Pelodiscus sinensis: one gene and its partners. The protein of the gene in region 1 interacts with the protein of each later gene in a pairwise test. Links are inferred from orthologs where the notes say so. Each region holds a gene or a part of one and is shown on either strand. Other genes may lie near its edges.

What was found.
Region 2: the proteins of CCDC33 (region 1) and ABLIM3 interact in a two-hybrid assay, tested with the Homo sapiens proteins (2 studies listed by BioGRID and IntAct). The two-hybrid records come from large-scale screens. The link is inferred for Pelodiscus sinensis from reciprocal best matches to the Homo sapiens genes CCDC33 and ABLIM3.
Region 3: the proteins of CCDC33 (region 1) and ABCF3 interact in a two-hybrid assay, tested with the Homo sapiens proteins (2 studies listed by BioGRID and IntAct). The two-hybrid records come from large-scale screens. The link is inferred for Pelodiscus sinensis from reciprocal best matches to the Homo sapiens genes CCDC33 and ABCF3.
Region 4: the proteins of CCDC33 (region 1) and LMO2 interact in a two-hybrid assay, tested with the Homo sapiens proteins (2 studies listed by BioGRID). The two-hybrid records come from large-scale screens. The link is inferred for Pelodiscus sinensis from reciprocal best matches to the Homo sapiens genes CCDC33 and LMO2.

Annotation. Positions count from the first base shown.
Region 1 is NC_134724.1:39,167,505-39,174,374, forward strand, and holds the start of CCDC33 (coiled-coil domain-containing protein 33), read left to right. Parts: upstream 1-3,848; 5' UTR 3,849-4,197; coding exon 4,198-4,215; intron 4,216-5,918; coding exon 5,919-6,082; intron 6,083-6,870.
Region 2 is NC_134727.1:16,803,016-16,810,216, reverse strand, and holds the start of ABLIM3 (actin-binding LIM protein 3), read left to right. Parts: upstream 1-4,195; 5' UTR 4,196-4,352; intron 4,353-4,376; exon of another isoform or gene 4,377-4,763; 5' UTR 4,764-4,861; coding exon 4,862-4,874; intron 4,875-7,201. UniProt on the Homo sapiens protein: May act as scaffold protein. May stimulate ABRA activity and ABRA-dependent SRF transcriptional activity.
Region 3 is NC_134720.1:48,890,429-48,898,391, reverse strand, and holds the start of ABCF3 (ATP-binding cassette sub-family F member 3), read left to right. Parts: upstream 1-4,957; 5' UTR 4,958-5,041; coding exon 5,042-5,114; intron 5,115-6,852; coding exon 6,853-7,000; intron 7,001-7,286; coding exon 7,287-7,366; intron 7,367-7,818; coding exon 7,819-7,871; intron 7,872-7,963. Other genes in the region: matrix metalloproteinase-23-like, read left to right, coding at 180-219, 393-519, 1,347-1,581.
Region 4 is NC_134714.1:86,905,765-86,912,667, forward strand, and holds the start of LMO2 (rhombotin-2), read left to right. Parts: upstream 1-3,897; 5' UTR 3,898-4,142; intron 4,143-4,353; 5' UTR 4,354-4,368; coding exon 4,369-4,532; intron 4,533-6,903. UniProt on the Homo sapiens protein: Acts with TAL1/SCL to regulate red blood cell development. Also acts with LDB1 to maintain erythroid precursors in an immature state.

The DNA.
Region 1 (6,870 bases):
GGCAGTGCTGGGGGTGGAGGGAAGACCTGTCACGCTCTGGGCAGTGCTGGGGGTGGAGGGAAGGCCTGTCACGCTCTGGGCAGCGCTGGGGGTGGAGGGAAGGCCTGTCATGCTCTGGGCAGCGCTGGGGGTGGAGGGAAGGCCTGTCACGCTCTGGGCAGCACTGGGGGTCGAGGGAAGGTGTACCGCGGTCTGGGGAGCACTGGGGATTGGGGGAAAGAGTGTCACTCTCTGGGTAGCTGTCATAATCAGTAGTGCTGACCAGCACCTGGTCACTAAGGGGTTAACTCAAGTATCTAGCCAAGGTGTTGGGCAGTCAGCCAATAACAATGCAGGTAGGAATTTCAAAGTGGAGAAGAGGGGTTTTTCTCTCTCATCCTTGTTTGAGATTCAGAGAAGTTTCTCCCAGGTATTAAGGGAGATGCTTCTCTCTCCAAGAACGGACTTCTTAAAATATATAAGTAGGGACAAGTTTTAGATAGTCCATCAGGGTTTATTGTTTTCCTTGTTTGGGGGTTTGGAAATAATGTCTGAGCTTGCTCATTGTTTTTTCCCCTCTTTTGTAGCTAAGTCTTACAGCCCAGAGGTTTTTCCCTGAGGATCTGTATCAAATGGTGGCTTTTTCCATCTAGCCAATTTACTATGCTTGCAACTGTAGTTTTGTTTTGATAATAAAAGATTGTTTCTTTTTTCTAATTAACCGGTATTGGTTGATTCGTGTGTCCTAGGAGGTCTATCGGTGGGTATCTACATGCCTCTGATTGAGGGGTCAGCTACCAGAGACTGCAGCTTCTTTCTCTCTCTCCTTTTTCAAGCGCTTTGGGGAAAAAAGGGCTTGGGGTACCCCTGGGGTTGGTTTCAAGTGTCAACCCCTGGTTTTTTATTTATTTTGGGGGTTCAAAAGCACTCGATGGTGGCAGTGGATCCCCCAAAATCTGGGTATTAGGATTTTGTAGAAGTTTTTTGTACCGAAGCCTGTAGATGCAAGCGTTTGGAGCACTCTTGCGGCCCCCCCAACTTTTGCATTTGTTGTGCCAGAGTGGGGAACAGCCTTGACAGTAGCTCTGAGGATTGAGGGAAGACATGCCACCGTCTGCGCAGTGCTGAGGGTGGAGGGAAGGCAAGCCGAGGTCTGCACAGTGCTAAGGGTTGAGGGAAGGCCTGCCACAGTGTGGACTGCACTGGTTACATAGGCCTCTGTGGGCAGTGCTCAGAGCTTGCTGCCTCCACCCAAGGCCCTGGCCCTTCCACCCAAGGCCCTGCCCTGTCTGGGAACAGGAGCTAGGCCTCCCTCACCTTGCCCAGGGACTCAGAGGCAGTCGGCACCACTGTTGATCAGTACCCTTTGAGCCAAACGATTTAGTCAGGTTTCTATCCACATGAAGTGTTATCTGATTAAAATGTGGCCATTAGGATCATGGCTGCAACAAGTAGGGCACGTGGCCTGAAAGGTTCAACAGTCCCAGGCCACCTGACCCAGCTTCAGCCTAGAGGCAGGGGAGACAAGGAGGTAAATGGTAATTAAGGCCCTTCAGTGCTAGTTAGGCTACAGTTGTGAAATGCCAGCCTTGGTGTTAGGAATGAGAGGCAATGCTGGTTAGATGTGTTTGCTGTGCTTATAGATACTAACTGTGTGTGTGTGTGTGGGGGGGGGGGGCAACTGTTTTGGGTCAGGGGCCACTGACCCACTTGCTTAAGGCACACACACCAGAGGCTGGAGGAGAGAGCAAAGGGAAAGCTGAGGTGAAGACTGAGCTTGTCAACTGATTAAGGAATTGGCAGCAGAATAGGCTGGATCAACCATGTGGGAGCTTAATTGCCAGAGCTACACCAGCCTGTCCAATCCCAGTGAGCTGCTGGGATGGGGGAATTTTAAGAGCAAATGTCATGATACCTGATCTATATATATATATAGTGGTCCAATGTCTGAGAGTCTGTAACTCTGAAATGCTGGCTGTTCCCTCTGGGCGGCCTGTGCTCATGGGGAGTGCGGGGCCCAAACGGCCATCTGGGTTCCGCGGTCCCCCGAGTGAGAGGCAGGAAGGGAAGGGGGAGGAGAAGAGAAAGAGAGAGATGGAGAGAGAGGCAGGAGGCAGAGGAGAGCTGAGAGAGAGAGAGGGGGAGGCAGTAGGAGGAGAGAGAGAGAGAGAGAGACAGAGCGAGAGACTGGAAGCTCAGGAGAGAAGACCGACGTGGAGGAGAGACCTGAAAATTCTGTCATATGACGGGCTAATTGGCTAGTAGTTAATAAGACTGGTGTGTGTGTATGTGTATTAGCATTTGTGTCTGTAGATGTGTGTGCATGTTTGTGTACGTGTTTGTGTACACGTGTATTTATATATGTGTGTGTGTATATTGGTACCCGTTGTGTGTTTGTGTATATGTGGGTGTATTTGGGCAGTTTGGGTCTGTCACACATCTCCTGCCTTCTGTTGTGAGACGCAGGGCTGACTAGCAGAGTTGAGATTCATTGCAGACCCTGGGGCCAGGGAGGAGGCAGCTGCATGTGCCAAAAGGGGTGGGATGGGGGCAGCCAGCCCTCAGTGCTGCCCGGAACATGTTTCCCCTCCCAGCTCTCAGCCGTTTGGAGCGACGCTTCGGCACTCGAGCAGCAGTTCAGGGGGGCTGTAAGCCCTGGCCCCTTTGAATTGCCAGGCCTTGGAACAAGGGCCCCCTTTGTCGTCCCCCCTCGCTGTTGGAGGTTGTCAGATGGCTCCAACAAAAATCCCGGAAAAGCGTGACATGACATCCCAATCTACATCCCATCTTATTTAGAAAACACCAGACAGTTCTGCAGTCTCCTTTCTATTTCTCAGTTTGTTTCCTGTATGGAAAGCTCAAACACTGGACTGTCCGGTTCAACACCGGACACCTGGCAGCCCTAGTTGGTGGGCCTGGAGCTGACGTTTTGGAACCTTTTGCTAATTGCCGTAACAAGTGCAAGTAGCTGGAGAGACTGATTGCTGCTGGGTGCTGTTCTCTCTTCGCTGTCAGCGGGAGCCTGTCTGTCGTGCCTCATGTTAGAAGCAGGCGCCAAGCGGCGCTGCTCATAGGGTTGTAACCATAGGCGTGTGCAGCACATTTCATTAGGGTGTGCACCCAAAGAATTTTGACCCCCATTAGCCACACCCCTGACTCCCATTAGCCAGACCTCTGGAGGTAACACTCTCGGGGCAAGATGGGCTCATGACCAGATGTAAAAGGTGTCACGTGACCCACCATCTTCCTACCAATAGGGATTAGTTTGGCTCCCACCAAACCCCCCTCATGCAACTATTCTGCAGTTGCATTACCCCAATTTGGGTCACATTAACTCGGAGGCGGAGAGGCTGGAGGAAGTGTCCCCTCTAAGAGTTTCCTCCCATGAGCAGAATGAATTTTGTGTTTTGCACCAGTACTGAGGTCATGTGGCTTGTTTGCATGTGCCACCGTGGCACCCAGGTTATTAATAAATATCATATGAACCTCGACCTTTTCCCTCTGCTGCCATGTCTCCCCCCTTTGCTCCATCAGCTCCCCTGGTGCCTGCTGCCCCCCAACCCCTCATCCTCCTCTGCTGTTCTGACTCCTGCCCTTCTCACTGCCCTCAGCCCTCTAGGACCTGCCCCCCTCCACCATACTGACCCAGTATGGCCGTTCTTATGTTCTTATCTTCTTAGTGTCACCGAGCCAGGTTTGAAGCAGGTGGGGTGTTGTGTAGACAGGCCCTGCCTGACGGCCTGTGTGTTGTGAGGGCAACCAAGCCCGAGCCCTGCCCGGGCCCTTTCACTGTGCTGTCACACAACTCAGAACCCTCACCGGCCAATCGCCACGGGGCACCTGCGCTGCTCGTGGAGGCAGTAACCAGGGTGCCCACCGGAGGTCTGAGAGCATTTCTTCCCGAGGCCTGAGCAGAGGCAGCGTGTGTGCTCAAGGCACAAGAGTACAGGCCCATTGCCATGGGGATGTGCAGGGGGGTCGCCACCCCAGCCTGTTCCCTCCTCAGCCAGACTCTCAGCACTGAGCTGAGCGGGGTGCTTTTTGTTTAGGCCTTGCACTTCCAGCCTCCCCTGGTAGGGGTAGAGCTCCTTTCTCCTGTGCTGCCTCTGGCTGGCTGCCTGCTCCTCACCCCTCTCACCAGCTCCCTGCACAGAGGGAGCAGTGGGTTCCAGGGGCACAGGAGGGGCCTAGAGCGCTGCCCTCTGGCTGAAGTCAAACATGGGAAAAGCTCCCAAGGTAGGGAGGCGCCTGCCCATCAGGCATCAACATTCATCCATATTGATAATTCCTTGTGGGGGAGAGAGGGCTGGTTACTTCCTAAGTTTTGTGCCTTTACTGGGCCCAAATTGTGTGTGCTTCAACCTTCTGTGCATCTCCAGAGATGCAGGCGCTGGTTAATCTCCCCGACTCCTGGTGCGAGCGTGCTGCCTGTGTATGCCTACACTGCCCCCACTTCATTATTGCCCTGTCCCCCTTCCCTCCCTGCTTCTCTCTCCCACCCAGTCTCCTGCTCTCAATTCATCTGCCAGCCCATATGTTCCCTCTTTCAACCTCACCGTCTTCTATCCATTCTCTACCCTTTCTCCTCCATTCCCTACCTTTTCTGGGTATGTCTACACTACCCCCCTAGTTTGAACTAGGGGGGTAATGTATGCATACCGAACTTGCTAATGAAGCCCGGGATTTGAATTTCCCGGGCTTCATTAGCATAAAGCCGGCGCCGCCATTTTTAAAAGCCGGCTAGTGCGAACCCCATGCCGCGCGGCTACACACGGCACGGACTAGATAGTTCGGATTAGGCTTCCTAATCCGAACTATCTGTACACCTCAGTCTCCTTCCTGCACTCCAAACTTCCCACCCGCTCATGTTCTACCTTCTAACTCCACATTCCTTTGCATTCATCTCCGCCTCCCTCCTGCTCTCTGCTGATTAGCTCCCTGGTTGGCAGTTTCAGCAGAGAAGATGACAGGGCCGTACAAACTTTGATTCCTCCTGCCTGGAGGAGTCTACTCTGCTGGCTTGGCTGAGGCACATTGGCAGGGCATTGTTGGGGAAGCTGTGGGCTCTCACAGCTCCTTTTCCTGGGTTGTGAACTCCTCTTCCTCTGCATGTATTACTCCTGGAGGTAGAGTCCTGCAAATCTGCACATATCTGCTTTGTATCCATGGGTACAGGCGACTCTGCACTTATGACCTACTTGGTTTCTGAAGAACTGCCGTAAGTGAAGCTGTCATAAGTTGAATCCTTATTTCCCATAGGCGCAATCTTATAAATGGCAGTTCCATTCCTGGAAACCCATTTCATACCCTAAAAATGCCAAAGTTGACTACAGAAATGGAGGAAAATGAAACAAAATAGTTCAAATAATTCACAAAAATAACTAAAAAGTGAAGACCGGTGTGGCGCAGTTCAAGCAGCTGATGCAGACGGCGAGTCTGACTGACCGTGTACGTTTCCTGTTTTGGGATGACACGTGGAGTCTGCGTCATACGCCGTCGTAAATGAGAGCTGTAGAAGTAAATTGGGAGGTTTTAGGAGCTATCTTACATGGAAAGAAATGGCTGTAAATGCGGTGGGTCGTCAGTCGGGGGTCACCTGTATCTGCATCCACGGCTCATTTTGCAGTTACAAATGCGGACGTGGATACAAATTTTGTATGCATGCAGCGCTCTGCCCATGGGAGTTACATGTGAATAAGGACAGAAGAGGAGACATCTATGAATTTACTTTTGCTCTGGGACTCAGCCAGTGGACACATTTACATCCATTGGAAAGACGCCTCTCTCCAAGTAGATGCAAAATATGCAAGCTCAGCTTGTTTGCAGAGGGTACACACCTGAGCCTTTAGAACAGAGCTGGAGATGTGGATTGGTGGGAGGCAGAAGATCTGCATCAGGGAAGAACAAATGCTGAAGTTCCTTCTGCTTGTGCCTGGCAGGTAGTGGAGTCACCCTGTGGAGCGGATGAGGCTGCACGAACTTCAGAAACCAATCACTGGCACCTGGCGCACACTGGGAAGGAATCCATCTCCGTCACTCTGCATGGTGCCACCAACCTGCCAGCCACCCAGAAGGGCACTGTGCCATGGCCCTATGTCACTGTGTGAGTACTGGGGAAGTTTGCTTCTGGGCTTTGGTTAGAAGATCTGCTCTTGTAGCAAGGAGATCAGGCAAGGAGTTGAGACTGTGGTGCAGGCTATAAGCCTGGTCTCTGCTCATCTGTTTAGTTTTCATCTGCACAGTAATAGATTGCACTGGCAAGGTATCACAGGAGGATACATCTCTCCGACCTGAATGCACAGCGTGAGAAATCAGAGACACTGAGAATCTTGTGGGAGAGGAGCGTAACGTGCACAGAGATTTACCCCTGTTGTCAGAAAAAAATGATCTATGCAGCTCTCCGAGTGGAATGTCTATTTCTAACTTCCTTTTGTTCAAACCCTGCCTGTCACACCGGTGATTTGTGCTATGGAACGCCATATATATTTTATAGCAGCAATGTGAGGGGAGAGAGTGAAACACACTAACCCCTTGCAGCGGGGAACTAGCATATGATCAGACTGAAGGTTGCCGCATTCACACTCAGGTGGTCAGAGCTGCCACGTACCCAGGGGGTAGCCCCAGATGCAGTTTTGCTCAGTTGATGCAGCTGCCCAGACTTTGCATAATGAAGCAAATGAGGCGAAGTGTGGAATACTGCAGCGCATCATTTGCATAATTAACGAGGCTCTGTTTTTGCGCAAGAGGCTTTCACGCAAGAGCTGTTCTTCCTGAAAAAAGGGGAAGAACGGCTCTTGCGCAAAAGCCTCTCGCGCAAAAACGGAGCCTAGTTAATTATGCAAATGAGGTGCAGCGATAGTCCATGCTTTGCCTCATTTGCATATTTTTTGA
Region 2 (7,201 bases), on another chromosome or scaffold:
GGCTGTTTCTATCCAGACTGTTCCTATTCCACCCTCCTTTTTCCCCTCCTCACTCTACATTTGATACAGGCTGCCAGTTTCCACTGTCCTGTACACCTTGTACAGGTTGCAGGAGTTATACAGAAGGGCAGGCTTCTGGTACTTGATATGGACTGGCTACCAAGCTGCCTTCCCAGAGATACACAGCAGATATGCTCACTATCATTGCACTGCCAGTAATGGCTGTCACAAGGTCAAGGTTGTTACACATAGGGTACCACCTACTGGTTAAATCTATAACATCAGGGCTGTGTCTAGACTGCATCCCTTTTCCGTAAAAGGGATGCAAATTAGACACATCGCAATTGCAAAATAAACGGGGATTTAAATCCCCCCGCTTCATTTGCATAAACATGGCTGCCACTTTTTTCCGGCTCGGGGCTTCGCCAGAAAAAAGCGCCAGTCTAGACGGGGATCTTTTGGAAAATAAAGCCTTTTCCGAAAGATCCCTTATTCCTTTTTTTAAGAGGAATAAGGAATCTTTTGGAAAAGGCTTTATTTTCCGAAAGATCCCCGTCTAGACTGGCGCTTTTTTCTGGCAAAGCCCCGAGCCGGAAAAAAGTGGCAGCCATGTTTATGCAAATGAAGCGGGGGGGATTTAAATCCCCGCTTCATTTGCAATTGTGATGTGTCTAATTTGCATCCCTTTTATGGAAAAGGGATGCAGTCTAGACACAGCCCATATGTTTTATTAGTCTCCTTTTCCTAGTCCCACAGGGTATGTCTACACCAGTGATTCCCAACCTTTTTCCCATGGAGGAACCCCTAAAATAATTTTTCATATCCCAAGAAACCCCTACCTATGAAAATGTTTGCTTGGCCAAAAAATTGACAGTGGGGGAGTGCAATTCAATTACTGCTAAATTATTGTCAACAAAATATTTGTAAAGAGCTGTTTATATATATATATATATATATATATATATATATATATAATGTCAGCTTACATTGTAAGAAAAAAAATTATTTATTCCACAATTTCTCGCGGAACCCCTGACGATGGTCTGTGGAACCCCAAGGTTCTGCAGAACCCTGGTTGGGAAACACTGATCTACACTATGGGACAAAGTCAAATTAAGATATGAAACTTCAGATATGTTAATTGTGTAGCTGAAGTCGAAGTAGCTTTACTCGGCTTTTGGCACTGTCTATGTTGCAGGAAGTTGAAGGGAGATCACTGTCCCTTCGACTTCCCTTACTCCTCGTGAAAGCAGAGTTACCGGCAGAGAGCACAGTGCCCCTCTCACTTCAAATCAGCTGTTTTAACTATTCTGCTAATTTGAACCCTGGAAGATGGACAGAAGCAGCTTCGATCTTCCTCTGTAGCGTAGGCGTACCCATTGGCTACATCTACACAACTTTCCTCTTCCACAAAATCCTATGCAAATGAAGCAGGGATTAGCATATTGCTGCACTTCATTTGTGTAATTAATTAGGAGCCATTTTTTTGCAAGATGTTTTTGCGCAAAAAGGGACCATCTACACACCTCCTTTTTGTGCAAAAACTCCTTCTTGCGCAAGAGCTGTTCTTCCTGAAAAAATGAGGAAGAACAGCTCTTGCACAAGAGGGTTTTTTTTGAAAAAATGGCCCCTAATTAATCATGCAAATGAAGCACAGCAATATGCTAATCCATGCTTCATTTGCATAAGCTTTTGCGGAAGAGGGAAGCTGTGTAGACGTAGCCATTGAGAACACAAGAGAGAGTCTTCCCTATCTAACACAACAGCCTCCAGCTGGTGGGAAGAACTGCAGATAAAGTCCTGTTCAGCCCCTCAGTCCCTGGGTGGAGCATGCTCAGTACAGATGGAACATGCATATGCCAATGGTGATTTTCAGAGGCACATCACTCAGACAAATCAGGGTGGATTTTCATAAGGCAGCAAAACTCACTTTTCTGGTCCAATGGTGGCTTCCTTGCCACATTTCAAGCAATGTATTTTTTTCTAACCTCACTCTAATAAACAAGAGAGTCTTCCGTAAGAAGATATCTTCCGGAGTAGCTTATTTCAAAATTGAGTGTCCACACTACAGGCAAGCCTCAAAATTAGTCCGAGGCAGGCTCCCCTAATATGGATGTGCTATTTCAATTTAGAGCCCCAGGAGGTACTGGGGAGGAATAACTTAGAATGGCCCTGGTAAGGAGCTATTTTGATATCGCAACAGTGGAGCATCCACACACACCCTCTTGCAAAATACTGGTTTTTTGGAAGAGGCCTTATTCCTCATGGATTGAGGTTTACCAACATCAGAAAAAGCCCTTCGTTATTTCAATTTTCTTTCAAAATAACACAATTGGACACTAGTATTGTTTTTCCAGAATAACAGTCATTATTCTGGAATAATGGTGCAGTGTAGACACACCCTCAGTTCCAGTGTCCTGAATCCCTCTCCCTCCATGGAAATGAGCAGACTGTTCCTATGATACACAAATGAAATAGACACATAGATGATTTAGCCAGTTGGTTTGCACTACAACCAAAGGTGCACACGTAATTCACACAACCCGCTACACATCACCAGAAACATCTGCTTCCTCAAATCAAACAGAAAAATGACTCTGTCAATATGGCAGTTCAGCAGCTGGGAAAGACGCAAAACTTGTTATGCTGCATAAACCCCCCTTTCATTGGACATGAGATCATGGGTTGCTTCTTTGAACCTTGTGTGAGCTACTCAGAGCATCCTCAGGTGGGACTGCCACAGAACAAGTCCCAGTTCATAAACTGTATCTGACTGAATTGCAGCTCCGGTGGGTGACACTTAACTCTGGAAGGCACAGAGTTACTAGCAAAATAAAGAATGAATGGCTCTTTGACATTCTTTCCAGAATCCTGATCTGATGCCTGCAAAGACAGCCTCTGGCTGTCCCAGGGAAGCCCCAGAGAAGGGCATTATTTCCAACTGCACAGACAGGTGGGATACACACATTCTTCCAGTTCCTGTACAGCCCGCTTCCAAATCATTGCCTGATACACCCATGTCAGCAGACCTCCTCCCCATTTCCAAATGTGGGACACAGTGTGGGGAAAAGGTCCACAGCTAAAGGCCAAATCCTGAGGCCCTTGATCCAGCAAACCTTCCACTGGAGCCAGAGGGACCAGGGCACTTGAAAACATTGAGTGAGAATCTTACCAAAAGAGGACAGCCTTCTCTCTAGTATAAAACAGTATTTTCTATGGCCCCAGTTCTCTGAGCAACATTTATAATACCAGGGAGTTTTTTAGGGGATGAATTAGATCTATCGTTTAAAAATGGGCCGCTTTTCCGCAAAATGTTGCCACCTGTCTACACTGGCCGTGAGTACTTGCACAAGAACACTGCCGTTCTAATGTATAAAATCAGTGCTTCTTGCGCAAATACTCTGACGCTCCCGCTCACGGATAAGCCCTCTTGCGCAACTGTTCTTGCGCAAGGGGCCAGTGTAGACAGGCAACATCAATTTCTTGCGCAAGAAAGCCCGATGTTTAAAATGGCCATTGGAGACTTCTTGTGCAAGAGAGCGTCTACACTGGCACGGATGCTCTTGCGCAAAAGCACATCTTTTGTGCAAAGGCACATGCCAGTGTAGACGTTCTCTTACTCAAATATTCTAATGCAAAAACTCTTGTGTTAAAGAGTGTTTGCGCAAAATCTTGCCAATATAGACGTAGCCTCTATGTTTTACAATTATAAAGCTTTAACTTTTTGAAATTGTCTCCTGTTATTAAATAATCCATACCTGACCTAGTCATAACTTCCTGCAACTGTGAAAAATTAAATAAATCCAAATAAAAAATACCTAAAGCCCATCATTTTGCACAACAGTGACAGTTTAAATCAATCAAAATGGAAAAAATACTTAAACACCGATATTTTCCATGGAAATTGTAAACAAATAGAAATCCCCCTTTGCCAAGCCTGCTGAAGAAGAAACTGATGATCTTACAATCAGCCCGCCCTGTAAATACCGGGGGACAGTGATGACAGGGAAAGGTGAGAGTTGGAGAACCCATCGGATGAGTGAATTCGGGAGGAATTTGAAAATTGCAAATGGATACACCTGCTTGCATGCTTGCCTTCACTTTGCAAACTCGATGCATGGCCTGCACCAAGCAGCGGCGCATTTCGGCCAGCAGAGGGCAGCCTGATCAGCTCCTTTGCCAACAGCAGGCTCAAGCCGAGCAAACCCTGCCCAGTGGAGCTAATTTCCTCTCTCTCTCGCCTTCCCTTTTCATCACAATTTTCAGTCTCCAGCCCAGCCCAGCCCTGCCGGGCTGAACTCCTCCACCTGCACTTGAAAGAGGCTTCTGCTGACAAACTTGCCTGAGAGGAGGTGAGCGCCAGGGGGGGTTCTCCTCGGATAGATTCAGGGGCGAGGGGGAGCAGCTTCATCCGATAAGCTCTCTGCGGGCCCCCTCCCCTTGCTGTGGTCCACACCCCCCTTGAGCTATAAGAAGAGCGGGCGCTGGAATTGCTCTGCATTGCATGACAGCACCCTCCATAGAACTCGGCTCTGGGCAAGCCGGAGTCAGTCGTCTGCGTGCTGCTTCACGCCGTGCAGCGACTGCTGGGAGGAGAGGGAGCCAGAGGAAAACCCTACCCTGCTTCTGTAGCTCCTCTTTATTATCTGCCTGCTAAAAATTAAGAGCAAAGGCAGGAGCCAGGGGAGGTAATAGCGTGGGGCCCAGGAGTCCCCTTGGCATGAATTAGAAGGGAATCACACGGAAACATTTTTCCTAGGAAGAAAAGGGGGGAAACCTACTCCTAGGAAGAAAGAAAGAGGTTTGGAAAAGCAGCTTTGCCCCCTTTGTTGAATGAGAAGGACAGAGCAGGACCAGCAGCATGAGCACTAGCAGTAAGTACACCTCCTTCTTCCTTTGCTATGGGAACGGGGCTTATTTTGTATGGGGTCTGGCTGAGTCGAACAGGCAGGAAAATGTCACATCAGGGTGGACGATCCCAGGGGATTGGATTTTTTTCCCACTTCTTGTCATGTAGCAAAAAATGGTTTTCTGAGGTGTTTTTGTTTCTGAAGATGACTAATGTGCTTAAGCCCCACAGACTTTTGGGACTGTAGTTCATAGAATGTATTGTCTACATGCAACATGGTCTGAAAGGTCTGTATAATCACACACACACACAGATGTGCTTGGACCACCGCCTAAGTATTAATAGACATGGGTCTGCTATCACTGAGAGGTGGGCAGGGTTGGCTCAGAATGAAGGAAGATCTAGGAATACTGTCCTTTTCCTTATTCAGGTTAGTGGGTATCTGTATGTGTGTGAGACAGGCACATGCTAGCTATGTATGAATTGCTAAAGGAGCAGAGCTAGCTAATGTACTGCATGAGATCAGTAAAGGCACATACTGCCAATCTGGATAGCTCCCTATTTTGAGACTTGGATTTCAGAGTCTTGAGGGAATAGTTGGTGTTTGCAAGTTGTTATCCATTTCTCTCTCTCTCTCTCTCTCTTTTTTTATTATTATTATTACTGTTATTGTCTAGCTTGTTAGCAGAACTCTGGCTCATTCCCTTAAGAATGCACTCAAGCCAGGCAGCACCAAAAGCAATCAATACAAAATACCATTGGAGGATTTGTCTCCTCTGCTAACCAGCTAGGGCTGGTCTCCCCTCAGATTTGACTTTTTTAGCTCTAAAGGTTATGTGCATGGAGAACTCCCACTGACAGAGCACCAGCTGCCCAATGATTCTTGAGCTCTATCACAGTCCTTTGCCTGCCAGTCCCGAGTGTCTCAATACCAGAGGGTGGAGTAGCTCCAAGGTAGAGTGCGAGGAAAAATTCCTTGGCAAGTTCCAGCTGACAGAACAGGTGATCCCAGATTTATTGGACTGTGTCATGGACAAGTAAACTTTCCAGGTGCTCTCCATGGGAGCCACACCTGAAACATGGGCTGCTTATTGGGTTGGGGGGGGGAAGAGATGTTCACAGAGGAGACAATAGGGATCAAATCCTTCCTCAGCCACTGGGTGGATGCAGACTAACAAAAGGCACCCACCCTCTGTGTCTTGCTAGGTGATAAACTCCAGAGCTGGTGAATAAATGGCCTGGAGGGAGGGGATTGTACTACTTTGCTTGCTGGATTTCAGGGATTAGGCCGATCATCTGAGAACACAAAGGGGCTGGATTCAAGCTGGAGAGACTGGGAAGGGATTTTGCCCAGGAGAGAATGTTGACGAATGCAAAACCATTCCTCCTGGTTATTTGCTTCCAGCTTTTAGCCCCCAGCTCAGGTGCTGACAATCCCTGCTTGTGGAATCTGCATTTCATAAAGATCCAATTGCTCTGCCAAGCGGGCGGGCCAGTCAAAGCCAAAAAGCAGAAATAGCCCCTCCTCGACTGGTGAGAGAAATGTGCTGTAGAAGAGGCAGCATGATGAAATGATTAGAGCACGGAATAGGAGTCAGGAGACCAGTGAGTATTCCTGATTATGCCATTGACCTGCCATATGACCTTGGACATGTCCCCTTGTATGTCTCCATTTCCCATTTGAGGATGACACTGGGATAATGATGCTCTTTGTAAAGTGCTTGGTGATCATTGATTGAAAGGGGCAATATGCTGGTGGTCTTATATGGCTGCTTGTGTGATTCTAATTATTATGGTTAATGCAAGTTTGGAAATGTTAGTTGTTGCTATCCTCACTAAAGAGTTCTGAGCCCCAGAACTGGGCACAAAAGGAACTTGACATGCCTGTCTGTTTAGTGCATCTATTGCCATACTGTGGCTAGGGATGCCAACGAGTAGTCGACTAGATGATTAACCGATAAGCCTAAGGTTATCAGTTAATCTTGTCTACTACTTGCATTTCCCCCCCACTTGCTGCCTCTGTATCAGAGGCAGCAAGCGGGGGGGGAGGGGCGGAGGGGTGGAGCAGGAGCTGGTGCTGGGGGGAGCCGTCTTAAAAGCTGGTTTCCCCCCCCCCCCAGCACTGGTTCCATGGTGCTGCCTGCCCCCATCTCCCTCACTACTGCAGCAGTAGTGAATTGGAGGAATCGGAGAGGCTGCCATAAGGCAGCCTCTGTCATTAGTGGGCCTGCCCACCATGATTAGAGGCTGTTTCACAGAAGCAGCCCCGTCAACGGCGGGGGGGGAGGGGTGAGGGGATGGTCTGAGCTCCACATGGACAGATGCTGCTCTGCATCCTGTGGAGCAGCCTCT
Region 3 (7,963 bases), on another chromosome or scaffold:
TCTGGGCTCTTCCATTCCAAATTCCTCGGCTGCTTCTGCACCAAAGGCAAGTCCCGTGGGAGGAAGTGGCTATTCTGCAATGCCCATCTCCGAGCGTTGTCCCTGCAGGCTGCGTGGATGAGAAGCAGCAGTGTGAGCCTTGGGCCCGGCAGGGGTTCTGCACGCGCCGGTGCGCCTTCATGAAGAGGCATTGCCCCCAAATCTGCAACTCCTGCTCCGGTAAGAGAACTCCTCCCCTGCTGGTGCTGTGGGCTACAGAAACCAGCTCCCCCCTGCAAAGCAAACGCCACCTAGCACCTCCCATGCCCCTCCCTCCTTTATTAGGCTGCTGCAGCATGCAGAAGGGAGCCATGGCCGCTTGGCTTGGCATCACTGCTCTGTGTGTCTTTCAGAGTTCCCTGCTGCCTCCCCCTCTGTACGAGTGCAGCCCCCCCACATTCACACCAAGTACCTCTCCAAAGGCAGAGCCATAACCTTCCGCTGTGGGCTGAACACCTCCAGGACACACCTGCAAATCAGGTGAGCTACTATCCAGCTGGGAGCTCTCCGGGATGCAGAGCATTGCTGCATCTATGGACACCCCCCTCCCCAGCACTCACTAAGCCAGGTCTCCCTAGCTGAACTCTGCAGTAATCTCTTTGCCTGCTGCCTTCCGAGGGAGATGGCGCTCGTGTCTGTGCAGATGCTGCCAGCTGTGGAGGCCAGGAAGCAGGGAGGCTACTGCTTTGGAAAGGCAAAGTTGGTGTGGGGGGGTCAATGGATGTGCAGACTTGAGCACCCCTCCAATAAGGAGCAACCACGGGCCCTGATCCCGACCACACCCAAGTGAAACAAACTGCTCCGCTGTGTTCTGTGAATAAAAGTCCTGGTCTCTGACTACAGGCTGAACCTCTGTGGTCCGGGACTCTCCCTGGTCCAGCAACACCTGTGGTCTGGCTGGGCCAGAGAGCCCCAGCCGTAGAGGTTGCCAGTGGCCTGGGGGCAGTGGAGCTCTGGTAGCAGGCGGGGTGCAGTGCACTGGCCAGGGCCAGGAGGGGAGCCCTAGCAGAGGTCAAGGCTGATCTCCCCTGGTCTGGCAAAATCCCTTGTTCAGGACAGCTCAGGTCCCAAGGATGCCAGACCAGCAACGTCCAACCTGTAGCAGGTTCAGCAGCGTGATGATGGGAAGAGAGAAATGGCCGGATCTTGACTGTGGCTGGGAGTGAGTTGGGCGGAGGGAAGGAGACTGCTAGCAAGCCAGGAGCTGAAGGAAAGGCCTTGGCACTCACTGGCTGGCATGGGGGTCACTGGTGCTAGCTGACAGCAGCTGCCCGGGTCTCACGGTCCTGCCCTCCTCTCTCTTGCAGCTGGTACAAAGATGGGGTGCTCCTTTCGCGCTCTGTTCCCGGCTTGGAGCTGCTGCCGAGCCAGGCCCTGCGTGTTCATGCTGCCGTGTTCAGCGAAGGGCAGTATACCTGCCTGGTCCGCCGTGCCAGCAGGGTCCTCCGTGCCAACTCTTGGCAGCTAAAGCTCAAGGCCAGGGGTTCTTCCCCACACAAACAGCCAGGCCAACCAGATGTGCAGGGAATTGCACGGGCCTGATCCACAGAGCAAGGGAGAGCTGGGTAACGGTGGATGTGAGGACAGCATCCTCCTTGCTCATCACTTGGCATCTCCCCTACCTCTTCCTCACTCCCTCCCCCTCAAAGCAGGGCAGCCCAAACAGCAGAGGGGTCAATGCCAGGAGCGCTGCCTGCTCCTTTCCTTGGCCCACTCCTCGGGCTGGCAGAGCTGCTCTGTATTCCTAGCCCAGGGCAGCAATCTCCTCCTGGGGGAGAGGTGAGGGCGCGGCGGCTGCCTGCTCTTAACAGGTGATGCTTACCAGTTAAGGTTAACCAGAGGGGTGGGAGCAGCTCCCCACCTGCTGCAGGTGGTGGTGGGGGTCTCACTTTGGATAGAGCCTGCTTGAGCCAGAGCAGCTTCTGCTTGCGGTGGCCCCGGGTACCTCAAAGGCATGGGTTGCTCAGGTTGGGACACCTGCCTGTGAGGTGCCCTGGCCCAGGGTGGGCAGTGGGGACTGCTGCAGCTGAACTGGAGCGGTCTCCCCTGCCTTTTAATTGGTTAACAATATATTTAACTGACTAATGAATTAAATGGGATTTTACATCCCTATTCCTCACCACCTTCTCCATGCCTGTTGGTTTCATAAATGATTGTGAAATGCCTAGGACTTACTGAAAGAAATAAGGTACCTTAGGCTATGTCTAGACTATACCTCTTTCAAAATAAACTTTTCCGGAAGAGATCTTCAGAAAAAACTTCTGAAAGAGAGCGTCTACACAGCAAAAGCTTCAGAGGGGTAGCTGAGTTAGTCTGTAACAGGAAAAACTTAAACATCAAATAGTCTAGTAGCACCTTAAAGACTAACAAAACATGTAGATGGTATCATGAGCTTTTGTGGCCAAAAACCCACTTCATCTTTTGTAGATTTTGCCCATGAAAGGTCATGATACCATGTACATGTTTTGTTAGTCTTTAAGGTGCTACTAGACTATTTGATGTTTGTTTTACATAGCAAAAGCACATCAAAAAAAGCCATCTGCTTTTTTGAAAGATAGCATCCGTTCAATATGGATGCTATCTCGCATTTAAGCTGTGATTACTATGGACGGAGTGGCCACTATGGCGCCTGTGTTTTTTCCTCTTCTTTCAAAAGAGCTCCCTCTTCCCTGTCCACACAGGCCTTTTTCTGAAAGAACTCTTTTGGAAAAAGTCTTCTTCCTTGTAGAAAGAGATTTACCAATGTAGGAAAAGCCCCTCTGTTCTTTTGATTTTTTTCCCCAAAAGAATGTGATTGCAGTGTGGATCTAAGGGAAGGTTTAAAAAAAACCAACAAAAACAACAAAAAACCACCAGCCATTTTTCTGAAAAAAACAAACAATCCTGTGCAGGGTGGACATACCATTAGACTCTTTCACAGTTATTTTTCTGCCTGCCTTTCCTGGCCCCTTTGACCCTGTTCAGATACCAGCTCCCAGCCATGCAGTCTCCCACGGAGGAGTCAACTCAGTGCCCATAGCATGGGGCTGCAGTATGACCCCAGGCCTGATTTGCAACAGCAAGGGCTGCTCCTTCCCTCACACCACGGCAGCTGCTTGCCAGAGAGACAAAGCAGCCCCTACGGTGGTGTTTCTCATACTGGGGGAGGAGGGAGGGCTTGAGGCTGTCTTGGGGGAGTGTGGTATGGCCACACTTGAGTGGGTACTGCTGGTTGGGCAGGTGCTTCTGGCTGGGCACCCAGCTTGCAAGGCAGCGCCCGGCCAGCAGCAAGGGGGGGGCATGGTACGGGGCAGGCCCATAGCACCGAGGGCCCCAGCAGCAAGGGGGGAGGGCATGGTACGGGGCAGGCCCATAGCACCGAGGGCCCCAGCAGCAAGGGGGGGGCATGGTACGGGGCAGGCCCATAGCACCGAGGGCCCCAGCAGCAAGGGGGAGGGCATGGTACGGGGCAGGCCCATAGCACCGAGGGCCCCAGCAGCAAGGGGGAGGGCATGGTACGGGGCAGGCCCATAGCACCGAGGGTCCCAGCAGCAAGGGGGGGGCATGGTACGGGGCAGGCCCATAGCACCGAGGGTCCCAGCAGCAAGGGGGGAGGGCATGGTACGGGGCAGGCCCATAGCACCGAGGGCCCCAGCAGCAAGGGGGAGGGCATGGTACGGGGCAGGCCTATAGCACCGAGGGCCCCAACAGCAAGGGGGAGGGCATGGTATGGGGCAGGCCATAGCACTGAAGGCTCCAGCAGGAAGGGGGGGGCATGGTGTGGGGCAGGCCCATAGCACTGAAGGCCCCAGCAGGAAGGGGGGCATGGTGTGGGGCAGGCCCATAGCACCGAGAGTCCCAGCAGCAAGGGGGGGCATGGTATGGGGCAGGCCATAGCACTGAAGGCCCCAGCAGGAAGGGGGGGGGCATGGTGTGGGGCAGGCCCATAGCACCGAGGGTCCCAGCAGCAAGGCGGGGGTATGGTGTGGGGCAGGCCCATAGCACCGAGGGTCCCAGCAGCAAGGGGGGGTATGGTGTGGGGCAGGCCCATAGCACCGAGGGTCCCAGCAGCAAGGGGGGGTATGGTGTGGGGCAGGCCCATAGCACCGAGGGTCCCAGCAGCAAGGGGGGGTATGGTGTGGGGCAGGCCCATAGCACCGAGGGTCCCAGCAGCAAGGGGGGGTATGGTGTGGGGCAGGCCCATAGCACCGAGGGTCCCAGCAGCAAGGGGGGGTATGGTGTGGGGCAGGCCCATAGCACCGAGGGTCCCAGCAGCAAGGGGGGGGGGCATGGTGTGGGGCAGGCCCATAGCACCGAGGGTCCCAGCAGCAAGGGGGGGGGTATGGTGTGGGGCAGGCCCATAGCACCGAGGGTCCCAGCAGCAAGGGGGGGGGTATGGTGTGGGGCAGGCCCATAGCACCGAGGGTCCCAGCAGCAAGGGGGGGGGGCATGGTGTGGGGCAGGCCATAGCACTGAAGGCCCCAGCAGCAAGGGGGGGGGCATGGTGTGGGGCAGGCCCATAGCACCGAGGGCCCCAGCAAAGGAAGTCAGAGCCCCTGAGTGGCTCCAAGTCACTTATGTCGGGGGATGCTTGAAATCCCAGCTCCGCAATAGCAAGGGGCGGAGCTCACTGGGCAACCACGCCCTGGCCCCGCCCCCCGGCAACCACGCCCTGGCCCCCGCCCCCCGGCAACCACGCCCTGGCTCCACCCCCCCCCCCGCCGACCTCTGTGCCAGCCCTCCCCTGGACCCCGCCCCAATCCCGCTTCACGAACTGCGCACGCGCCTCCCTTGCCCTGGCGGGAACTTGGAGGACGGCGCGCCCGGGGACGAGGCGCATGCGCGGGGCACCCGTTCCCGCCGTCCCTCGCGCTGGGCCGGCCCCGGACTCCATGTCCCAGCCGCCTGCGCGCGGCGGGCTTTTTTTTTTTTCCTTTTCCCGGCGTGCCCCGCGCTCCCCCCCCCTTTCCCCGGACTGCGTGGCCCGGCGGCGGTAGCGAGGCTGGTGCCGGGCTGTGCGGCCATGGCCTCGTGCGCCGAGATCCTGCGCAGCGAGTTCCCCGAGCTGGACGGGGAGCTGTTCGCCTACGTGACCGGTGAGGGGCGGGGGGAGCCCGAGGGGCGGGGCCTGGGGCGGCGGGGGCGGGGCTGCCCGGGCCGGGGTTTCCCGCCTCTCCCCGGGGCGCCCCGCCGCTCTGCCTCCCCTCAGCACGGCGCGCCCCCGGGGCTGGCGCGCGCTCGCAGGCTGCCTGCCCGATGGGGCGCCCGGGCGTGTCGCCTGCCTGCCTCGCGTGGGAGCGAACCCCCTTCCTGCGCGAGAGCCAGGCGGGGCCTGTCACCGACGGGGGGCTGGGCACGAAGGGGCCCCGTTCCCACCCCTTCTGCGAGAAGCCTCAGTCCACGTGCAGAGGTGCCCCTTCCCCCCCCCCCCCAAATCCCCTGGCCTTGGAAGACGTTCAGAAAGGGGCCGCAGAAATGATGAGCTGCTGCCCCGTGACCGGGACTTGTCAGCGTGGGAAAGAGATGGATGACTCGGGGGGCGATAGCCTAGAAGTCTGTGACATCACGGCTGCTGTGGAAGAAGTGACTAGAGAAGAGTTAGTTGCTCCTTCCCATAACGCAAGAACGAGGGGTCAACAACTGGGCGTCCTAGGTTGAACACAAAAGGCAGTACTACTTCACAAAACTCCTTCCCATAACGCAAGACCGAGGGGTCAACAACTGGGCGTCCTAGGTTGGGCACAAAAGGCAGTACTACTTCACAAATCTCCTTCCCATAACGCAAGAACGAGGGGTCAACAACTGGGCGTCCCAGGTTGGACACAAAAGGCAGTACTACTTCACAAAACTCCTTCCCATAACGCAAGAACGAAGGGTCAACAACTGGGCGTCCTAGGTTGGACACAAAAGGCAGTACTACTACACAAATCTCCTTCCCATAACGCAAGAACGAGGGGTCAACAACTGGGCGTCCTAGGTTGAACACAAAAGGCAGTACTACTTCACAAAACTCCTTCCCATAACGCAAGAACGAAGGGTCAACAACTGGGCGTCCTAGGTTGAACACAAAAGGCAGTACTACTACACAAATCTCCTTCCCATAACGCAAGAACGAGGGGTCAACAACTGGGCGTCCTAGGTTGAACACAAAAGGCAGTACTACTTCACAAAAGGCAGTCAACCTGTGCAATGCTTTGCCAAAGGAAGAACTAGATAAAGTAATAAGGCTAGGTCCATCAGGGATGGTGTCCCTAGCCTCTGTCAGGGCTGGGAATGGGCCATGTCTTGATTCCCTGTTCTGTTTAGTCACTCGGCCCTCTGTCAGAAGACAGGGCACTGGGTTCGATGGACCTTGGGTCTGACTCAGTATGGCCATGCTTGTTGAGAAATGAATGGAGCTATACCTATCTCCTAGGACTGGAAGGGACCTTGAAAGGTCATCGAGTCCAGTCCTCTGCTTTCACAGCAGGACCAAGTACTATCCCTGACACTTGCTCTAGATCCCTAAATGGCCTCCTCAAGGATTGAGTTCACAGCACTGGCTTTAGCAGGCCAATGCTCAAACCACTGAGCTATCCCTCCCGTAGGCAAGAATATGGGCCAAGGTCACTTACACATGGATGCCTGTGGAATAGTCTGGAATTGAACCCATAGCTCTCTTACCTACTTTCTTCAATTGGCACTGGAGGTCAGCCCCCTCCCTTAAATCCTAGAATGATCCTTGTTGTTCAGTGGGATTGTGAGGATGGTGGAGGTGTGGGGAGACACTGGCTGTTATTTTGGTTGGAATTCTTTGGGCCTGTTGCTCAGTGGCTTGTCTCTCTTCTCTTGCAGGGATCCTGCACAGTGGCAGTGAAGATTTTGAGTCTGTGGATGATCTCTTTGAAGCAGTGGGAGAGCTCTTGCAGGAAGTGTCCAGAGACTCGAAAGATGATGAGGACATCCGGGATATCTGCCAGAGGATGTTCAACACCCTCCACCTGTAAGTACTCTGGGGCCTCTATGCAAAGACCTGTAAACGGGGCTGAGTCCAATGTGGTGAGAGACGAGGAGAGCTCTGGGTCTTGTCATGTGCATTTTACTTTAGAGCTGTGCTGTAAAGTGTCAGCATTAGGAGTGTACAGAATGAGGATGTCAAACAGGGTGACACAGAATAACTTAGGGCAGCATCTGAGACTCATTTGGGGTGGTGTGTGGCAGATGGGAATGTTGCAGGAATGGGAGTGTATCGTGGTACCTTTACTCCTTGATTCTTCTGTGTGTTACAGAGATGACGAGAACTCTCAGGGGTGCAGCAAGGTGCTGCTAGATGCGCCAATTCAACTTTCCAAGGTTACAGACAGCTATGGTGAGTAATAAATACTGAGCAGCCCTTGCTCCTAGGGAATCCTCCTTTGATGCCTGAGCTGCTCAGCTGACTGAACAGTCTCCCATCTTATCTGCGGCTATCAATTGTAGAACCATATTGGTGGGAAGTTTATAAATTATGAGGTTGATGGATTGGAATGGCACTCCCTCCCTGGAATGCAGAGGAGCTGATTCTGCATACTGGTGGTCTTTCAGACAGTGAGCTCTAATGGCAAGAACAGGGCTAGGAATAAAGACTTAAATTCTCTTTTCAGCGCTGCCTCTCCCTTGCCATGTGATCTTGGGTTAGTCATTTCACCTCTGTCCAATTGTAAAACAGGTTATTAACTTTCCTGCCAGGGAGTGGGTAGATTTGTATTAAGCACTGAGCTTGCCTGGCAGAAGGTGCTGGAGAGAGGGGCCGAGTGTGACTGCCTTTCTTGTTCATTGCAGATTCTGGCTTGGACCTCTTTCCAAAGCTCTTGCTGAAGAGAGGCCAGACCTCAGTAAGTGGGAAATGCTGTTACCAGCTCATGCTCTTACTAGCCTGTTTGCTGCATTGCTCAAGATGCTAAGAATGCCCTTGCCTTCCCATTTC
Region 4 (6,903 bases), on another chromosome or scaffold:
AAATTACACCTGCCACATGGAGCCTAATGTTACGTTGTGTCTTTGTAGTGCAGCCTATTTAAGGTACCACAATGACTTTAATCCTTGTGCAGTATTTCCTGATTGCTGTTTGTTTTATTTAGATGGAGTTCAAGCACTCTCTCACCAGGCACAGTGAAACCAACATCTGTTATCTTACACATCAGAGAAGTGATCTGCTTTTTCCTCTGTACACAGTTCTCTCAACCCTACCTCCTGCTGGCACCTTACTTCCATGGAGAATAAGGAGATTGAGAGAGCTTCTTCTTTTGGTGGTCATCATTTTTTTCTTTAGACTTGCAGAGAGCTAGTATCTGTAATAATCATGTAGCACCTGGCTTCAGCACTTTCACAAGTTGTCTACTTAAGCAGCTAAGCATATCATCTTCTTTAGGCATTTTGCCCAGGATCTGAAAGCCTGAGTCAAACTCTGTACTCGAAATGCATATGTAGCCTGATTCAACTTCTTTGCCTATTAACCAGATGCTTTGAACCTTGTTCTGCCATTTCCAGGTGGGAGAGATTCCTGCAAGGTGCTAAAGTTTCCAGTTCCGTTAAAATTAGGGACCTAAAGGTCATTGAGTCCAGTCCCCTGCCTTCACAGCAGGACTAAGTACCATCCCTGATGAATTTTTACCCCAAATGGCCTCCACAAGGACTGAACTCACAATGCTGGGTTTAGCAGGCCAATGCTCAAACCACTGAGCTATCCATCCTCCAACAAATACTCTTGCCTCCTCCAGCAAAATCCATAAGCACATGCTTAACTTGAAGCACATTAGGTGCGGTCATTTACTTCAGTGAGCCTCCTTTGCTTGGAAGCCAGCTCCAGGCGTGGTCTGAGGAGGTCTGACCAAGATCAGTGGCCTCTTAGCAGTGCTAAACTAAAAGGAGGCTACTTTGCAGGCAGCGCCGTGGCTGAAGACAAACTGGCAGGAAGAAGTGTCTTGCACGGATGGGAATGCCCCCGACTGCAGGATTTGTCTGGTTGGAATTTCCATAAGCAGTGCTTCAGAGCAATCCCATCTAGAACATTTTACGTCACAGATGCAGTGATAAATTTATTTTCACAACCAATCCATGGTTTATTTTTAAAAAAGCTATGAAGTTATACAACCTGCTAATGGGTAAAAAGTACCAAATGCAAGACACAGGAAGGTGCAAATGCACTCTAGTATGTAGAGAATAATAAAATACAGTAGGCTAAATTGCATTCTCAGTTACTCCTATACATCCCCACTGACTGGCATTTTATCAAGGTCCTAGCAATTGCATAAAGTTAACTGAGGGCAGAATTTGGACTAATATGTTTATTGTAAAATATTAAATTTCTTTCAGTTTCACCCAGTCCAGCCACGCCTAAGCGCATGCTTCCATTTAAGTACATGGAGTGTTTCATTGACTACTTTGAGCCTTTGCTGTTTGGCAGCCAGCATGATTATTTGTGAGACCTAGTTTGAATATATGGAAAGGAACAGGGCCTATACATATTAACCCACTCAAAATTGCCAAAAAAGACATTAGTCCACTGTGTATGACACACGAACATATTTCTATATTACAGCCTTCATTATGGCACTTGGTTTAAAATGGAGATGCATATTTTGATCTTATTTGTATATGTCATAACGTAGATTTTACTTCTACAAAACACATGAATGTACACAGGTATTTTACTATAAATTGAATTTTTAATCTTTTGTTTTAATATGTAATCAAATAAATTGTTGAAATCTCCAATACATGAGAACAGAGCCTACAGCAGGACCAATAATAATATGTGGGGCCACATGCAGGGGAACCAACTACACATGCCTCATGCTGGCCCTAAATTAACCTGGAATTACACTGAGGGAGGTAAGCATTTTACAGATGGGGAAACTAAGGCATAGTTAGTTAAAAGACATACTCATAGGCTACGTCTACACTGGCATGATTGGCTACTGGCTACTGCAGCCTGGCCAGAGGTGGTCTAACTTGAGGTCAGTAGCCGGGCTCCATTCCTGGCAGGATGGAAGCCTTGGTATTTTGCTTTTTATTCCTTTTTAAATAAATGTTTGAAGCCCTTATATTTATCCTTGGTTCATCTTAAAATTCAGTTACTAATCCTTCAAGCCATCTTAATATAGTCCCCAACAGTTTAATTATTCTGTCTTTCTGTAGCTCAAGTATTCTGTCTTTCTAGAAGGTTTACTTTTTTGCTCCTGATCATAGAGTAAATATATCTGACATGAAATATTTATCACACCATTCTATCCTGTGGATGAAAGCTACGTGCTTTTACCTTTAGTAAAAAATGTTGGCTTATGAACATATCATACTGTATAATACATTAAAATATATTGGACACAGTAAATTTAAACAAAAAGTATGGGTTTTTCCTACTGATCCCGTGGTGGCTTCAAAGGTTTGGTAGGGCCTGATCCAATCCCCATGGAAGTCAACAGGAATTTTTCAGCTGACTTCACTGGATTTTGGACCAAACCCTTAATATTTCTCTGGTGTTATTGCTCCAGTGACCAAAGAACTGGATTGGGGGTTAATAAAATGAGACTGGGGTAACAAAAACAGACTAAATATATTCCTGAAATGGAAATAAAAATATAAGTGAATTATTTCTCTCATTCTTCACTCAGACTTTATTTCTGATCTTTTTACATCACAATTACTGGAACAGATGGTCCATCTAATCCCGTGCCCTGCCTCCAGCAGTGGCCAGTACCTAATACTTCAGAGGAAGGCAACATGCTGTAACTGCAGTAGCAGGTTTAATTCTACTTCGTGTAAATCACTCTGCTCCAGGATGCACTATAGAGAGGATCAACCTACCTTGTGAGAGAGCAAAGGATGAGGACTGACAAATGGCAGGGGAGAGAGCTGACAGGTTCACACAGGCCTTTCCCAGCTCTAGCGTTTATGTGATTCATTACTGATCAATAACCTCCTGCTCCAGAGCTTTCCTCGCTAATTAACAGCAAATAGCAATGAGGTATAAATGTGTTATATTGCCTATCGTGAACTAGACGAGGATCAATTTTGCTGATGCCCATGACTATCAAACTGTAGAAGAAAAGAAATAGAGAGAGGGACACAGCTTAGCTGGACCTAGCTGGCTCAGATAGCTAAGTAGATAACAGCAGTGATAGGCTAGAATGGTGTTTGTTTTTGGATCCCAAAGCACTGATCAGAGAGAGACACCATTATCCTATTGTGCTCTTGGGAATATTTGTGGCTAGGATGCCAGTCAGGGTGTGTCTGCACAGGGAAGTTATTTTGGAATAACAACCGTTACTCCGAAATAACTATGTGAGCATCTACACAGCCATTCCGTTATTTCAAAATAATTTCAAAATAACAGATGGCTTATTCTGACTTCTGTAATCCTCATTCTACGAAGAATAACGCCTATTCCGAAATACTTATTTCGAAATAAGGCGTGTGTAGACGCTCCACTTCTGCTATTTCGAAATAGCCCCTCACCGGGGCCATTCTAAGTTATTCCTCCTTGGGCTCTAAATTGAGATAGCACCTCTATATTAGGGAAGCCTGCCACTGACTAATTTTGAGGCTTCTGTACTGTGTAGACGTGCTATTTCGAAATAAGCTATTTCAGAACAACTATTCCGAAATAGCTTATTCTGAAATAACTGTGCAGTATAGACGTAGCCTAACAATGGTCCTGGGTACTTGATACACGCCCAGAAGACCATTCTCAGGCTGCATGTCTGCGTGCTCAGCTCACTGCAAAACTGTAACATAATCTTAAATTGCACTGGGCTGCAAAAATGCAACGTCAGCTCCCAGCACTGGCTCCGTGGCGAGCGCCCGCCTGGCCCTTTAAGAAGCCAACTCAGTCGTGATGCTGCTGTTTGTATTGCTAAATCCCCAGGAGTCCAGTTCAGAAACGGGCAGCTGTCTCTTTAAGTGTGATTTCCTTCTATTGTATTTGAATCGTGATCAGGAAAAAGGAAATGAAACCAGAGACTCGGGGCTGAGCTAAATAATAATAATGATGCTGCTGATCTCTGCATCTGCGGCAGAGGCACCCTCTCTCAGGGTAGGGCATGAGCAGAGCTGTCCAGCCAGAAAGCATACGCCGAGCAATTAGCACAGGGGACTCCAGGGTAAGCAGCAGTGACAGCTGAAAGGGTCTATTTCCATCCGCGATCGGAACAGCAGCTGCAGCTGGGGCTGCCCTGCCACGCAGCAAACAGGAGGAGCATTGCGAGGATGGGAGGTTAGATCCTAAGGGTCAGCCTTGCGGAGACACAGCCCGGCGGCAGCAGCAGCAGCAGGAGCAGCAGCCCGTATTTCTTTCTCTCTTTGGTGTTACAGGAGGAAATCCTGTGAATGTCATTGGGGGGCGGAGGGGAAACTCAGCTGGTGAGAAAGCATCAGGAGCAGACAGCCTTTGTAAGGGGCAGAGGGGGCAGATCCTACCACAGACACACTACAAAGGAGAAAGCCCTGCCAATGTCATCAGCCATCGAGAGGAAAAGCCTCGATCCTTCCGAGTAAGTGGCCTTTTTTCTTTCCTAGCCCCCTCTGCCTTTTGATGGCTCTTGAGCTTCTCCAACACACGGGCTGGGAAAGGACTTTATGAGCTTCCAGAGTCCTTCATTGTGATCATTGTTGTTGCTATTTTGGGTAAGTGCCAGTTCTAGGAAGGCGCTTTGGAGATCTTCTTCTGGGGGAAGGTGGTTTAGACATATGCCAGGGCTGCTTTTACCTTCGAAATAATATTCCTGCGTGCAATAAAGTCCTAAGCACAACCACCGCTTGCCCCCTTCCATACACTGCTGCCCTTGTAATATTACAGCCTGGGTGGATTTGGTAGAGAGTGTCACTCTGGTGCATGCAAAGGGGAGGGTTGGTAGATTTCATTGAGTTGCTGCTGGAGGAGGCAAGCTGTGTAGATATCAGTGTGCTACTCATGTGGATGGCAGCACGAGCCCAGAGACATCAGTTCCCCATTTTGAGTTGAAACCAGATTATAGATTCATCAGATTTGTCAGGTTTTGTGAAATACCTGCCAGGATAAACCTCTCGTTTGAAAAAAATCTAACAATCCCCTTCACACTCCCCCTCTGTTCTTGAGATGCAGTGATGCTGATGAGAGTGATTCAGAGATATGGGGTGCATAATACTTTCCAAAGCTTAACTTGTTTTCAGGCTCTGCTCCCTGTTTAATCTGCCCAACTAGCTGACTAGACCAAAAGGTCAAAGCTGTTATCTGATGGTGTACAACTTCCACATTTTCATACTACAAGTCAGTTTGAAACTTTCAAGAGATTATAATGATGGTGTGGGGGAGGGAGATCACAAATGCATAAAGAATTGATACACAGAAGGTGTGGGAGAAGAAATTTGTTCTTACTTACTACCTTTGTGGAAGAGGTTACATAAATTCAATAACTGATTGTAGCATTACGATCTGGCTCTTTCAGTAGATTTCCTGCAGCCATCCGTTTGTACTTGAATGCTGGCATTTAGTTGCAAGAGGAGTGTGAACTCAGCTACACAATGCACCGTGTCATTCCACTGAATTCCTGGGCTCTGCGTCTCAAGAACAGCATTAGGTGCACTACACTTGTCTGTGTCTCAGTGGCACTGTGATAATACAATAAGGAAAAACACTTGTAAAATCCTGGTTTTCAATGTAAAACTTAAATTTTATTTCCGCCTATAAACATAATTAATTTTTAATTTGTTTCCTTTAAGTCATTAAAATGTTGTCTTCTGAAGCCCTCATCTAAGGCATGTAAAACATAACTAACTCATGATCCAAGGCAGTTAATACGTCATATCAGACATTTTGCATTTGTTACCATTTTTCTCATTTCCCATTGATTTTAAGAAATTGTAATTTAACTTCTAGGTAATTTTTTTTAAAGATTTCAACTACACAGTAGTCGCAATATTTATTTATTTGCTTTATGTTCTAGTGAATAACAGCTGGCTATGAAATCCAAGCACATAAAAAAGCTAATGCATGAAACCGAAATTCTGTTCAAAATAAACATAGAATCATAGGTTCCAGCAGGGTCGGAAGGTAGCTCAAGACCGCATCTGCCACAGTGTGAGACTATGCCTGACTTAGGCTTTGAAATAACCAACCCATCGATCCTGATCGGTCATGAAAAAGGACAATTTAACAATATAAAATATGGGTGCATGTATGCATCTATATGAACATCTGCACTCACAAAAGAAGGGATTCATTAATTGTGAAAAAGCTGCTTCCTTATTTCCTTGTATCCTCAAAATATTCTTATGGACTTGTAGTATTTGCTGCAGATAAACACAGTGTTTTGTTCTATGGATATAATGCCCTGTTTATATTATTTGGCTTATGTGTTATTTAATGCATTGATGTTTTCAAGCCAGCCTCACGGAAACAGCATGCATTCCTTTATAGTTATATATGTAATTGGTTGGTACTGCGAGTAGCAGTGCTTGCAAAGCATAGAGCATAGAGGTGTATGCTTTGAAAATCTAGGGTCTGATCATCTGTATGTAGAAACTCCCACTGACTTACTGACAAGACTGTGTGTAGAGAGGTCTGGTAGGCGTTGGATCGCAAGTCATAAGAATGTTAGGACACAGCAATATAAACCGTGAAGTGAATATGGAAGTAAGAGTAGATGCTGTTTTAAGATTGAAGTCAGAGGGAGATTTTGCCTAAGTAAAGCTGCACTCATTAGGACAGAAGTTTTGGAGCACTGTTTTCAGAGACATATGAAAGTAACTTTTGACAAGGAAATTGTTTTTCCAGTAAGTAAAGGTGGTAGAAAAATGTTAGTTTCTATGGCCTGTTGGAACGCTAAACAGCCAGATTTCTATCAGTGTAGTTACAGTCTGTCCTCACCAGTCCAGTTGTGGTAT